Linked DNA regions of Nothobranchius furzeri. The protein of the gene in region 2 interacts with the protein of the main gene of each other region in a pairwise test. Links are inferred from orthologs where the notes say so. Each region holds a gene or a part of one and is shown on either strand. Other genes may lie near its edges. The genes, in order: hmga1a, RNA binding protein fox-1 homolog 2 and psmf1.

The links.
Region 1: the proteins of RNA binding protein fox-1 homolog 2 (region 2) and hmga1a interact in a two-hybrid assay, tested with the Homo sapiens proteins (2 studies listed by BioGRID and IntAct, with this or other methods). The link is inferred for Nothobranchius furzeri from reciprocal best matches to the Homo sapiens genes RBFOX2 and HMGA1.
Region 3: the proteins of RNA binding protein fox-1 homolog 2 (region 2) and psmf1 interact in a two-hybrid assay, tested with the Homo sapiens proteins (2 studies listed by BioGRID and IntAct). The two-hybrid records come from large-scale screens. The link is inferred for Nothobranchius furzeri from reciprocal best matches to the Homo sapiens genes RBFOX2 and PSMF1.

What each region holds. Positions count from the first base shown.
Region 1 is NC_091755.1:54,122,564-54,126,396, reverse strand, and holds the start of hmga1a (high mobility group AT-hook 1a), read right to left. Parts: upstream 2,470-3,833; 5' UTR 2,261-2,469; intron 2,179-2,260; exon of another isoform or gene 2,024-2,178; intron 1,383-2,023; 5' UTR 1,368-1,382; coding exon 1,269-1,367; intron 531-1,268; coding exon 450-530; intron 1-449. UniProt on the Homo sapiens protein: HMG-I/Y bind preferentially to the minor groove of A+T rich regions in double-stranded DNA. It is suggested that these proteins could function in nucleosome phasing and in the 3'-end processing of mRNA transcripts.
Region 2 is NC_091752.1:66,556,047-66,559,646, forward strand, and holds the start of RNA binding protein fox-1 homolog 2, read right to left. Parts: upstream 2,543-3,600; 5' UTR 1,770-2,542; coding exon 1,512-1,769; intron 1-1,511. UniProt on the Homo sapiens protein: RNA-binding protein that regulates alternative splicing events by binding to 5'-UGCAUGU-3' elements. Prevents binding of U2AF2 to the 3'-splice site.
Region 3 is NC_091743.1:68,640,015-68,642,976, forward strand, and holds the end of psmf1 (proteasome inhibitor PI31 subunit), read right to left. Parts: intron 2,350-2,962; coding exon 2,293-2,349; intron 1,506-2,292; coding exon 1,344-1,505; intron 1,152-1,343; coding exon 1,100-1,151; 3' UTR 692-1,099; downstream 1-691. UniProt on the Homo sapiens protein: Plays an important role in control of proteasome function. Inhibits the hydrolysis of protein and peptide substrates by the 20S proteasome. Also inhibits the activation of the proteasome by the proteasome regulatory proteins PA700 and PA28.

The DNA.
Region 1 (3,833 bases), on a different chromosome or scaffold from region 2:
CCCATACGTAACAGCAAATGGCGCGCACACACAGGGGAGCTAAAGGGTTGGGGAGAGGGAGAAAAAGCAGTTGTTGCTATGGAGACGACAGGCAGAGAGAAGAAGTAGGGCTGTGTGCTGGTTGGGGGCGGAGGGGTGCTTAGTGTCAGCCTGGAAACAGTCTTGCGGCCTCTGCACCTGCACCACACAGTGCATGACAAGCTGCAGGAAGCTGGAGGACAGGAAGTACAGGGTAAATATCAGGCCCCCCCTTCCACCCCCAAATAAAGCAGTTAACCAAGATTTATTGGTATTGATAATCACTTTGCCGCCCCCAATAGGGAGTCATGGCCGGGCTATTTGTGGCACCTTGAACTGCAGCCAATAAACATATATCAACAGCAGAGGATGAGGTTAGCTGTTGCAAACTACGGGAATATAAGTTTCAAACAAGACGAGCAATGACTTACCTTGCCCTTGCCAGCAGTCTTGTTTTTGCTGCCCTTTGGTCGCCCTCTGGGCCTCTTTGGAGTTGGTGACCCACTTGGCTCCTGGATATCAAACAGGTTATAGTTAATATCAAGAATGTTTTAATAGATGCCCAAAAAGGCTCAATTTTAGTGCACATCAAAACAATTGAAATCAAAACAAAAACTGACTGAGCAATCTGGCTGAACCGTAAACATCAGAGGGGACTGCCATAACATCTGAAAGTTCAGCAAATTCATGCACAACTCGTGGTTTAAACCGGCGTCATGGCCCACTCGTCTTCTGTTGCTCGTCTGATGTGTTGATCATCACAGCTCTTAGCAACCCAGCAACTCAATAGTAATACACAGCAGGCCAAGTGACATCTATGTGATCCACTCTGGGCCACAACTCTCCTATGTAATGCAGAAGAGGATGAGGGGGAGGTTAAAACCAGTTTAAAGGTGTTAGGTTACTGGTTGCTTACAAACTGGTGAGACATGCTGGGAATTTGCTGTACACCTCAGCAGTGGAAAAGCAGGGGGCAAATGGCCACAAGGCCATGCTCCTGCAGTCTGGGCTATTTTATTCTGGTCTCAAGACTCTGATATGCACAAACCTGCATGTGCGTCTAACTGAGCCTCAGCGATCACAAGAGGACCTGAGGCTCAGCACCACACCGGCCTGGTTCTGCATGCATTTAAGATCAAGTTTATTCCCATGGCATGCAAAAATAAAAATAAAAAATAATAATAATAATAATAAAACGACGGGGTGGTAGAAAATCAGCTAGTATACCAGAATAAATAGACACTACTTACGTCAGAGGTTTTCACCTCGAGCGATTTGCGGGGTCTTCCACGCCCTCTCTTCTCTGCCGCCTCCTTCTCTTTCGGTGAGACTGTCCCCTTGTCGCTCATATTTGCTCTTCCAACCTGAATGGATGATGATGATAATGATGATTTAAATAAACCCTACCGGCCGGCCTTGATGCTGCAAGAGGCGTCGAGTTCACACAGAAAACTGAGCACAGCGTGTACCCGTGAGCCACTAAACCCACTGACCGCAACAACAAACCAAAGATGACCGACCGCACCACGCACGGTTTAACCCAATTAATCCGCGCTGGTTTCCAGGTCTATTTCCGTCTCGTCTGCGCTCTGCGACACAAGAGGTTTACGCAGAAAACCGATCACAGCAGGCTTAACCTGCAAAAGACCACAAAACCAGCCAATTCCCTCCGGTACCGACCGCGCTTATAGGCCCCGCAGGAGCCCAAAGACCAGGCCTGCGCACGGAACCATCTCAGAGCAGCGTGTCTGCACGCCTGGGCCGCGGAGAGATCCACCGACACTCACACACCACAATGGCCGCGGCTCGTTTCTGGTTGCAGGCAACAAGCTTTGAGCTGAATGGCTTTTTAAAAATTAAGTGGCGGAGGGGAGAGCAGCAACCGAGGTCTCCGTGTAGCGGAGCGAGCCCGGACCGAAGCAACAAAAGACGGCTGACAACGTGCCGCCGTTTCCCGCCGGAGCTCCGGGCTGTTTGTAAAACCGGTGGTCGCATCCCCACTCACCTTTGTCACGGTGCTATCGCCTCCGTGCTAAACTCAGGTAGACTTGTTTCCGTTTGAAGCCCGGCTGGTGCGTACCCGGTTAAAAAGCTGATCTATAGGCTACAGCTTTTATTCGTCAGACAGCCCGCCCATTTAAAAAGCCCAGCTCACGCGCCTTAAAAACACACACAAACCCATTTAAATAAGCGAAAAGCTGAACTTTCTGCATTTTTGTACATGAAACATATTTATTTTTACCAGCACGGTGAGAAGTTTAATCCAAAGGTTTCCCTCGGTAGAGCACGTGCGTCTCGCGCAGATAAAGGAATGAAAGGCGCCGGAGTCGGACAGGAGGAGTTTTTGGACAATTTAAAGAACCGCCCTCAGGAGAGCGGGAACACTGGAGGGCGGGGATATGATAACGAGGGCCACCAACAGAACCAGAACAGCCCAACCTCCACTCAGCACCGCCGGTGTTCCGACTATCCGTGCCCCCCGTCGAAATATTATACTTTGGGGAAATGCGCAGCGCCTGCGCAGGCCGATTATTGCGTCACAGGGTGTTTACAAGTCGAGACGCGCTACCTGTGGAAGTTTACGTTTAATCTCGTCACTTATCTAGTTACTTTCAACTCGTCGAAGGTCACAGTACGTATTTCTTTAAGTTGTTATATAAAATTATTGCTTACTGTATGTTTACCGGACAGCTTGTGAATGGCTTCTAAAATATCGTTATTATAATGTAAACAAGACATTTCTCCCATTGTTTACATTCATTCTGAAAGAGTCCCAAATTAATATCCAAAAGTTTTATATTATACATATAATAAATTTATCATAGTTGTATAATAATCTCCAAAATTATACATTCAAACAAATAACTAAGTATTGGGGGGAAAGCAAAGTGAGTTAATTTGTCTAATAAAGGATTATAGAATGATAAGAGCTAACGTCTTACAAATCTCCATTTTTATGAATCACTTTCTTGACATGGGTGAAAGTAGTTGGTAAATCGTCATTGTTTTAGCATCTAAGGGGTTTTACGAAATGACTAAATTGCTTACAATCCACTTTTTTCATAAAATAAAATTAACCTACATTGTGTCATAGCCTCCACTGTCATGGCGCTTGAACTATGATGACGTCCCCCAATGTAAACAATCCCTTTGCTCATGTTTAAATAACGAGACTAAAAAGTAATTTAATTTATACATATTATTTAAATATATTAATAATATTATTTTGTACAAAACCCAAACGGAAACAATGCATGTGGAGCTAATTTTAATCTAATTTTCTTTTATTTGTTGTGCATTAAAGAAAAAACAATTATGTTTCATTTAAAATTCAAATGACATTTTTGAGCAGCTATTTCAGAATTATATTTGAATCTTAATTATATTGAGGAGTTTTTTTTCTTTATGTTGATTTTCCTTTCTTTTTTTTAATTATGCTAATCTTTAAAACATATTTGTGTATTCATTTTGTATGAAACCCTAAGAGAAACAGTAAATGTGGAGCTAATTTTAATCTACTAGCCGAAGTTTAGTTTGAATGAAATTAAATCGTAAACTCCCTATGAAGCATCGCTGATTTTCTCAAAGAATTTTACTGTTCTGTTAACATCGGTGCTCATCTACATGTGCAGACATGGTCCCTAAATTATTCTTGTATTAGGCAACAATTAATATGAAAAGTTTAACATAGATTTTTATTAAACATTTTATGAGTCATTTGAAATAAAAATTGTACTTTTTTGCTGCTATTTCAGAATTATATTTGAATCTTAACTATAATTAGCAAGGTTTTTCTTCATTATGGTTTTCTTTCT
Region 2 (3,600 bases):
CGTTTGTTAGGATTACCGCAAGAGCTGCGATATAAAAAAACTACAAAGATGGTGCCGGTTAAGGAACGGTGCCCGTTTGAAACAATTGTGGCATCAACTTTGGACGATATAGACTTGGGTTTTTCTTTGAGACATGACTCAATAGAACTACTTCAACGGCGTAAGGCAGACTGCCCTACTGACTGGTTGCCATGGCGATGAAAACATCACTCTGTTTGTTGCTCTGACTGGCTCTGGCACTGATCAGGTGTGTGCGAAGACAGTTTGAAAGACAACCGTAGATTCCGCCCCACAACTGAGCTCTGTCTATGGGTCGTGGTCAGACCATATATTCACACATATAGGACGGCTTGGCAGGCTAGAAATTGTTTGCTTTGCTGAAACATCTAACAGAAAACAAGCAGAAGATATCAGAAGTACAGCACTGTATCATTTTGCTTTTCTTCTACTTTTTCCTCTACCCCAATCTTAAAGGTTGATTCTTTATTATGCTAACATAGATGCTATCCGCTTGTTGCAGTCGACCACGCGCCCCCTCTTTGATAGAGCTTTACCAACTCGTCTGGATTCGGTTGCACACAGGTGACCTCATGCTGTGTCTGGCCGCTCCTCTCAGAGCCATTTTCCTGAACTAAAACACCAGACATCAGCTAAACTGTCCTGCTCTATTATTGGATTAGATGCCAGTTCAAACTGTATGCGTGTAGGTGTAAGAAAAAGAGCTGTGCGGCGTGTTTATGAGCCGAGGAGATGGAGGGACTAATAGCAAACAAATCCAGAGAACTAGTGGTTTACTGTAGACAGTAGATCAGTGCAGAGAGGCAGAACCGGCTGCAGATGCTTTGCTGTCTCAGCTGTCGAGTCATGAATGCAGCGAAGACCTGCAGTTAAGAAAGGCCCCCCTGAGCCTCCTTTTGCTCCTTCAGCCTCCAGCGACAAAAAAAAAACTCTGTTCTTTGTCTTTCACTGTGGTGACCCCTCCCCCAATCCCTGTCTGCCTCTCTCTTTTAACACCTAGCCACACCGAGAAGGGGGGAGCAGCCATGTGTCAGGATTTAGGGAAAATCCATTTTTAAAAATGACAATATTTGATCATTTTTAGCTGATTTGAATGAAAACGTGTTAAAAATCTTGCCGGATGGGAGGAAGCACTAGCTTTTCATATGAGACAGGCATGATGAATGTCTGATCTTTGCTGTGCTGCTGTCTGTCATAGCAATGGAGCCTGGATCATATTACCTTTGTCTGGGCTGCTCCTTCACTGCACAGCCCGAGTCTCAACGAGACACATTTCGCAATATTCCTTCACTGGCCTCTAAATTATAAACCCCCTGTCTGGTTACAATGTTTTTGTTCTTTGTTGCAAAGATGACAGGGTTGTGTTGTTGCTGAAAGAGAGTTAGGGCCCTGTCAAAACATCCCTCCTGATGATGCTGAGGAGCAAATGTGAGCAGAAGAGATGAGAACATAACACACACGAATGTGTCTGACGGGTTTTAGAGTAATCCTACCTGTCCGATGTCTCCGACCACGCTCCCGGTCCCGTCTATCCGTGGTCTCTTGCATTCCGCCCCGGCCAGGTCGGTCAGGGCAGCGGCAGTCTGAGCGTCGGGCTCCGGGTCTCCCCGTTTCATCCCCCGGACAACCGCTGGACCCGCGGCCGCGCTCGCATGAGGTCCGGCGGCTACTGTATCAATGTCCCTTTCGCGGTCCATTATTCCCCGATTAACGGGTAGCATTATAGATGCAACGTCGGTCGACATTAACATTGGACGACAGGCGGTCACAAGTCAAAAGTCTGCAGCTTGTTTTCACCTCCTTTCTTCCGTTTGCTTCACAATGGCTTTCCCACACAACGCGGATAATATTGAACAGATTTTCATCAATATGAAAAGCTCGCACTGTTTATTGTCTTAACTTGGCTTTGGCTAAGCCAGCAGGACCATTGTGGCCGAACTAGGAACCCGTAAAGAGCAACAATAGAGCAGGCTCTCCCTAACAGAGTCAGATGTCGCCAAGCAGTGACCTATTTTAATAAAATCAAGCGTCCGACTCGCGAATGCCTGATAGGCTAATTAGCTAGCTAACGTTAGCCAGCTCGCTAGCATTACATTCCGCTAGCTCTCCTTATAAATGTGGCTCGGAGAGCTCCTCACTCCCGCTGCCAAGAATAGAAAATGTTGGAAATGAGCAGAACGTCACACTACTCCTGCGTGGAGCGGAGAGCCAGAGCTCGCTCTGCTGGCTGCTGTTGCGGGGTTAAAACTCCTCCGTATCCGCTTTTCCTTTCAGTCGCTCCCGTCTTGTCCGTTCCCTCGCCGCCGTGGTCTACTCGTGGATGAGTCTTCTCGTGTCGACCTGGCCACCACCGACGAGCACGATTTCCTCTGGATTCAGTCCCACACTCTCCCAGTGTTGGCGTTGCTGATCCGAGGTCAGATTTTACCACGAAGACTGGGATTAGACAGAAGACGTTGAGGTGAAACGGACTGGTCTGAGGTCTGTTCTTCCCTGGTCTCCTTCTCCTCCTTTTTCCCAACGCCACCTACCACCACCACCACCTCCTCCTCCGCCTCACCGCTCCCTCCTTTATTCTTATTTCAGTCTTTTGGTCGAATAAACGAAAACCTTCATTGTTTAACCGATTTTAGACCTGACGAAAAATTCCTCAAGTCTATAAAGAAATAAAGGAAATTAGAAACAACAACACACAGAAAAATCGAAAAAAGCAACAACAATTTTTTATACATTTCACCCCCCCCAAAAAAAGAAAATAAAACAGCAACAATTTACATAGTTCAGTAAAAAATGTCAACACATTCCTTCACGTTGTATTAAAATAGCCTGTGTATTATAAAATCTTGTTACTATCATGACAAAAATGAAAAGAAATGAGATTCATTAAAAGTCATATTTTCTACATTTAATTCATTTAGGTTTTATTGATATGTTTGACTTTTGTAGCTTTAAAATGCAACCTAAATACATGTAAACTGTACATTAAATATTTATATTTTTAATTGTTTCATACATATGCAAACCGGTCTTTACAATTAGCTTTTTCAAAAATTGAAGAATTATAAATAATTACGATGAGACCCAATCTGGCTTCTGTTGTCTGGACTTCATTTAATATTTTAGTTGGACATGGGGGTAAATGTAACGCACAGTATTCCGTTACAAGGGGTTTTCTTTCTGAATCATTTAGCGCCTTCAAGTGGCTGAAGGATAGAACAGCACGTCAACGGGGAGACACTTTTCATTATAAATGTGGATCTAAAGTCTGGTACTGAGTGTTCTGATATTGATTAGATTGTTCTTATTTCTGAGCACAAACACAACATTAAAGCAAATGTTCATCCTGCATTAAAATGAATAATAATAATAATAATAATAATAATAATAATAATAATAATAATAAAGCATAGTTTCGTTGTAAAAAGGCTTGAGTTGAATTGTTACTCTCTAATCGTGTTTTTCAGCTGCTGATTTAATTGGGGAGTTACCCTGTTTGTTGGGAATGGAATTTAAAAAAGATAATATTATCTTCAGGACATCGTAGATAGATTACAGAAACCATGCACCTTTCTTTCGACATAA
Region 3 (2,962 bases), on a different chromosome or scaffold from region 2:
AAACCACTGTTTATAATCCTGTACAAAGGTTAATTTTTAAATCCACAAAAGTTTAGACATTTGCAGTGACTGGATTATTAAACCAATCATCTTTGTTTTTTATATATTCACTGGGTTTTATGTAGATGAAAAAAGTTCAGCCACCTTTGTGCAACGGACGATGGAAACCTCATCAGGTTTAGTAGGTCACACTGAAAATGGGAAATTATGATGCTGAGGGAAACTACAGACTCACATATGATTCCAGATCAATAAACATACTGAGAGCTGGTTGTTATGGTGTGTTTCTCTTAACTCGGTCGTTCATGCTTCTCAGAGGATGAAGCATTCAGGTCATCCTCACCAACTTTCTTTGTTTAAAGGGACGTCCTCAACATAAAATGTTGATTTTATGGTCCTGAAATAAATAAAAGTACTAGCATGCTGGTGACAGCACTGTTGGTTTTTAAATAATTTTATTGCACTTGTGATTTTAATTTAAAAAGCCATGTAATAATAATAAAAATAATAATCTTCATCCATTTCTTCTTCTTTTAGTTTACCTCTTCATCTTAACTTCCCATTTAGACCATTTAGGACTGAAGGTCATTTTTACTTTTCCTCTAAGAAGCAAAGCTGAGAAACCCTCTTTGGATAGAAAGCTGCTAATGTGTGAAGTAAATAAAAGGAAATGCTTAAAACAGCAACACGACAGGGTTCAAAGTCATTTTTATTTGAACTTTTTGCAGGAAATAATTATAAAGCCATATTGTTCTGTCAGCATGTTGAGCTGTTTGTCCTTCAAAAGCAGTTACGGAGTGTGATCGCTATTCAGAATAATGAAGGTCACAAGAAACTAGGAGTCTAAGATGAACATGTTTACCACAATAATCTGATTTTTTGTTTTTACTAAAGTTTCTTTAAAAATCAGACTTAATATTTTACATCACTAACGGGTTCTTCTGTGAGTCGAATCAAAGTTTTAATGTTGTGTGAGTGGAGGAATGAGAAGAATAACCCTCCTCTTCAGAGCAGATTGAAACTTTCAGGTCTCTGAACTGGATCCAGTTTTAGATCAGTAGCAAGCAGAAAGTTGAAAAGCAGGAAACACGGGTGGGCACTACATGAACATGTCATCGTAGCCAGGTGGGGGCATGTGGTCTGGATCTGGCCTAAAAACGAGGCAAAGAGGAGAAAGCAGTCAGAAAGCTGTCATTACTCTTCTGGTTTCTCTTAGTTTAATCTGAACAAAAAGTCCAGAAACTGTAGAAAGAACTAAAAATGTATCTGAAGCATCCGTTTTCTGGGGCGAACCCAGAAGTCAGCCCAAGGTTGTCGTCTGCTGAGCATCGTTTGCGTCTCACCCTGGTCTGTGACGTCCGATGGGTCCAAACGGGTCGAAGCGCGCTCCTGGGGGAACGGCTCCAGGAGGCAGGATGTCTGGTATGCCGCTAGACGGGTCAAAGCCGGAGCGAGGATACCCCGACCTCAACGGGTCGACTATCATCCCGCCGCCACCACGAGTTCTGGGGGGGATAAAATTAATTTTGTTTCCTTGTTATTTTTGAGCTCAAATACAAAAATTGGAACAAAAAATGACGGATGGATGTTAGAAGACGGTTTAAAAGCAAACTAACTGTTTTAATTACAGAGTGAAATTGGCTTATACCTGAGATTGGATTATACCGGCATGAACTCCAACAACTGGTCTTTTATTCTAAAGATTAGTAATCCTTCAAGAGCAGAGATTAGAGTTTTATATTAAAGGTGAAATAAATGAACAAAAACAGAACACCGGGCAAGAAGAACAATGAGACAGAGAAAAAGTATGTGAAGATACTATAATCCAACATAATTCTAGAAGGTGAGTAAAGAAATGCTTTATGAATGTTGTCAAAAACATTTTAATATACAGTTTGAATTAGTCAAGTGCCAAGATCCATCCATGGATCCATCTTGTTCCGCTTATCTGAGGTCCAGTCACTGGGGCGTCAGGTCCATATGGGAAGCCTGGACGTTCCTGTCCCCAGCTCTCTTTGTGGAATCCCAAAATATTCCTACGCCAGACAGGATAGATACAATACCTACAGTGGGCTCTGGGTCTTTCCAGACGGGCCCGGAAAACCTCCAGGGGGAGGCCACCTTGGATGCTCGAATCGATGCAGAGGAGCAGCGGCTCTACTCCGAGCCCCCAGTCAGGGTTAAGACATTAAATTTTCCTTAAAAATATACAGATTATTTCGGAGTCTTGCTAATACCTTTTTTTCTGAGAGAACACTAAAATAATTAGGACTGAGGGATGATATGACTCACCCAAAAGGATCCAGGTCTGCTCCTCCAACTGCAAACGGAGGATCCAAAGGATTGGGCCTGAAAAGAAACAAAAGCACAGACGTCAGTCTGGTTTCTTTAACCTAAAAATAAAATAATTATAAAACAAACATGAAACTATTTAAAATCTAGCATATTTATAACTTCCTTTATGGTTAAAATTTGCCAATATTTCTTAAAAACCTTTTGTTGCTTTTCTTGCGATAAACATAACTTATTTTAAGGCTGTTGAGTGTAATTTTTGATCTTTTAATACCACTTTTTAGCACATATTCAGTAGATAGCCTTAGCTTTGTTGTTTTCTAACAAACTAATCAGAACACTGAAGTAAAACAACAGAGTTCCAGCCGGCTGGGATTTCCACAGCAGACTCCAGGGAAATCAGGATGTGAAGAGATGGCTTTAAGCATCTTTGGAACAAAAACAGCCACATTTGGCAGAAATTTGAGACAATGTATTATAAGATCTGAATATGAGACAAAGAACGCTGTGCTTTAGTTTTGGGAAAGAGAATTTCAGTTGCTGATCATAAAAGTTTACTATAAATGCAAATCTTTATTTTTAGAGCATTGTCAGCGACCCAGAAACTGAGCACCGTGTTTGACTGATGGTAAATTCAAACAGGAGAATATTACTCCGTTTCCCTGTACTA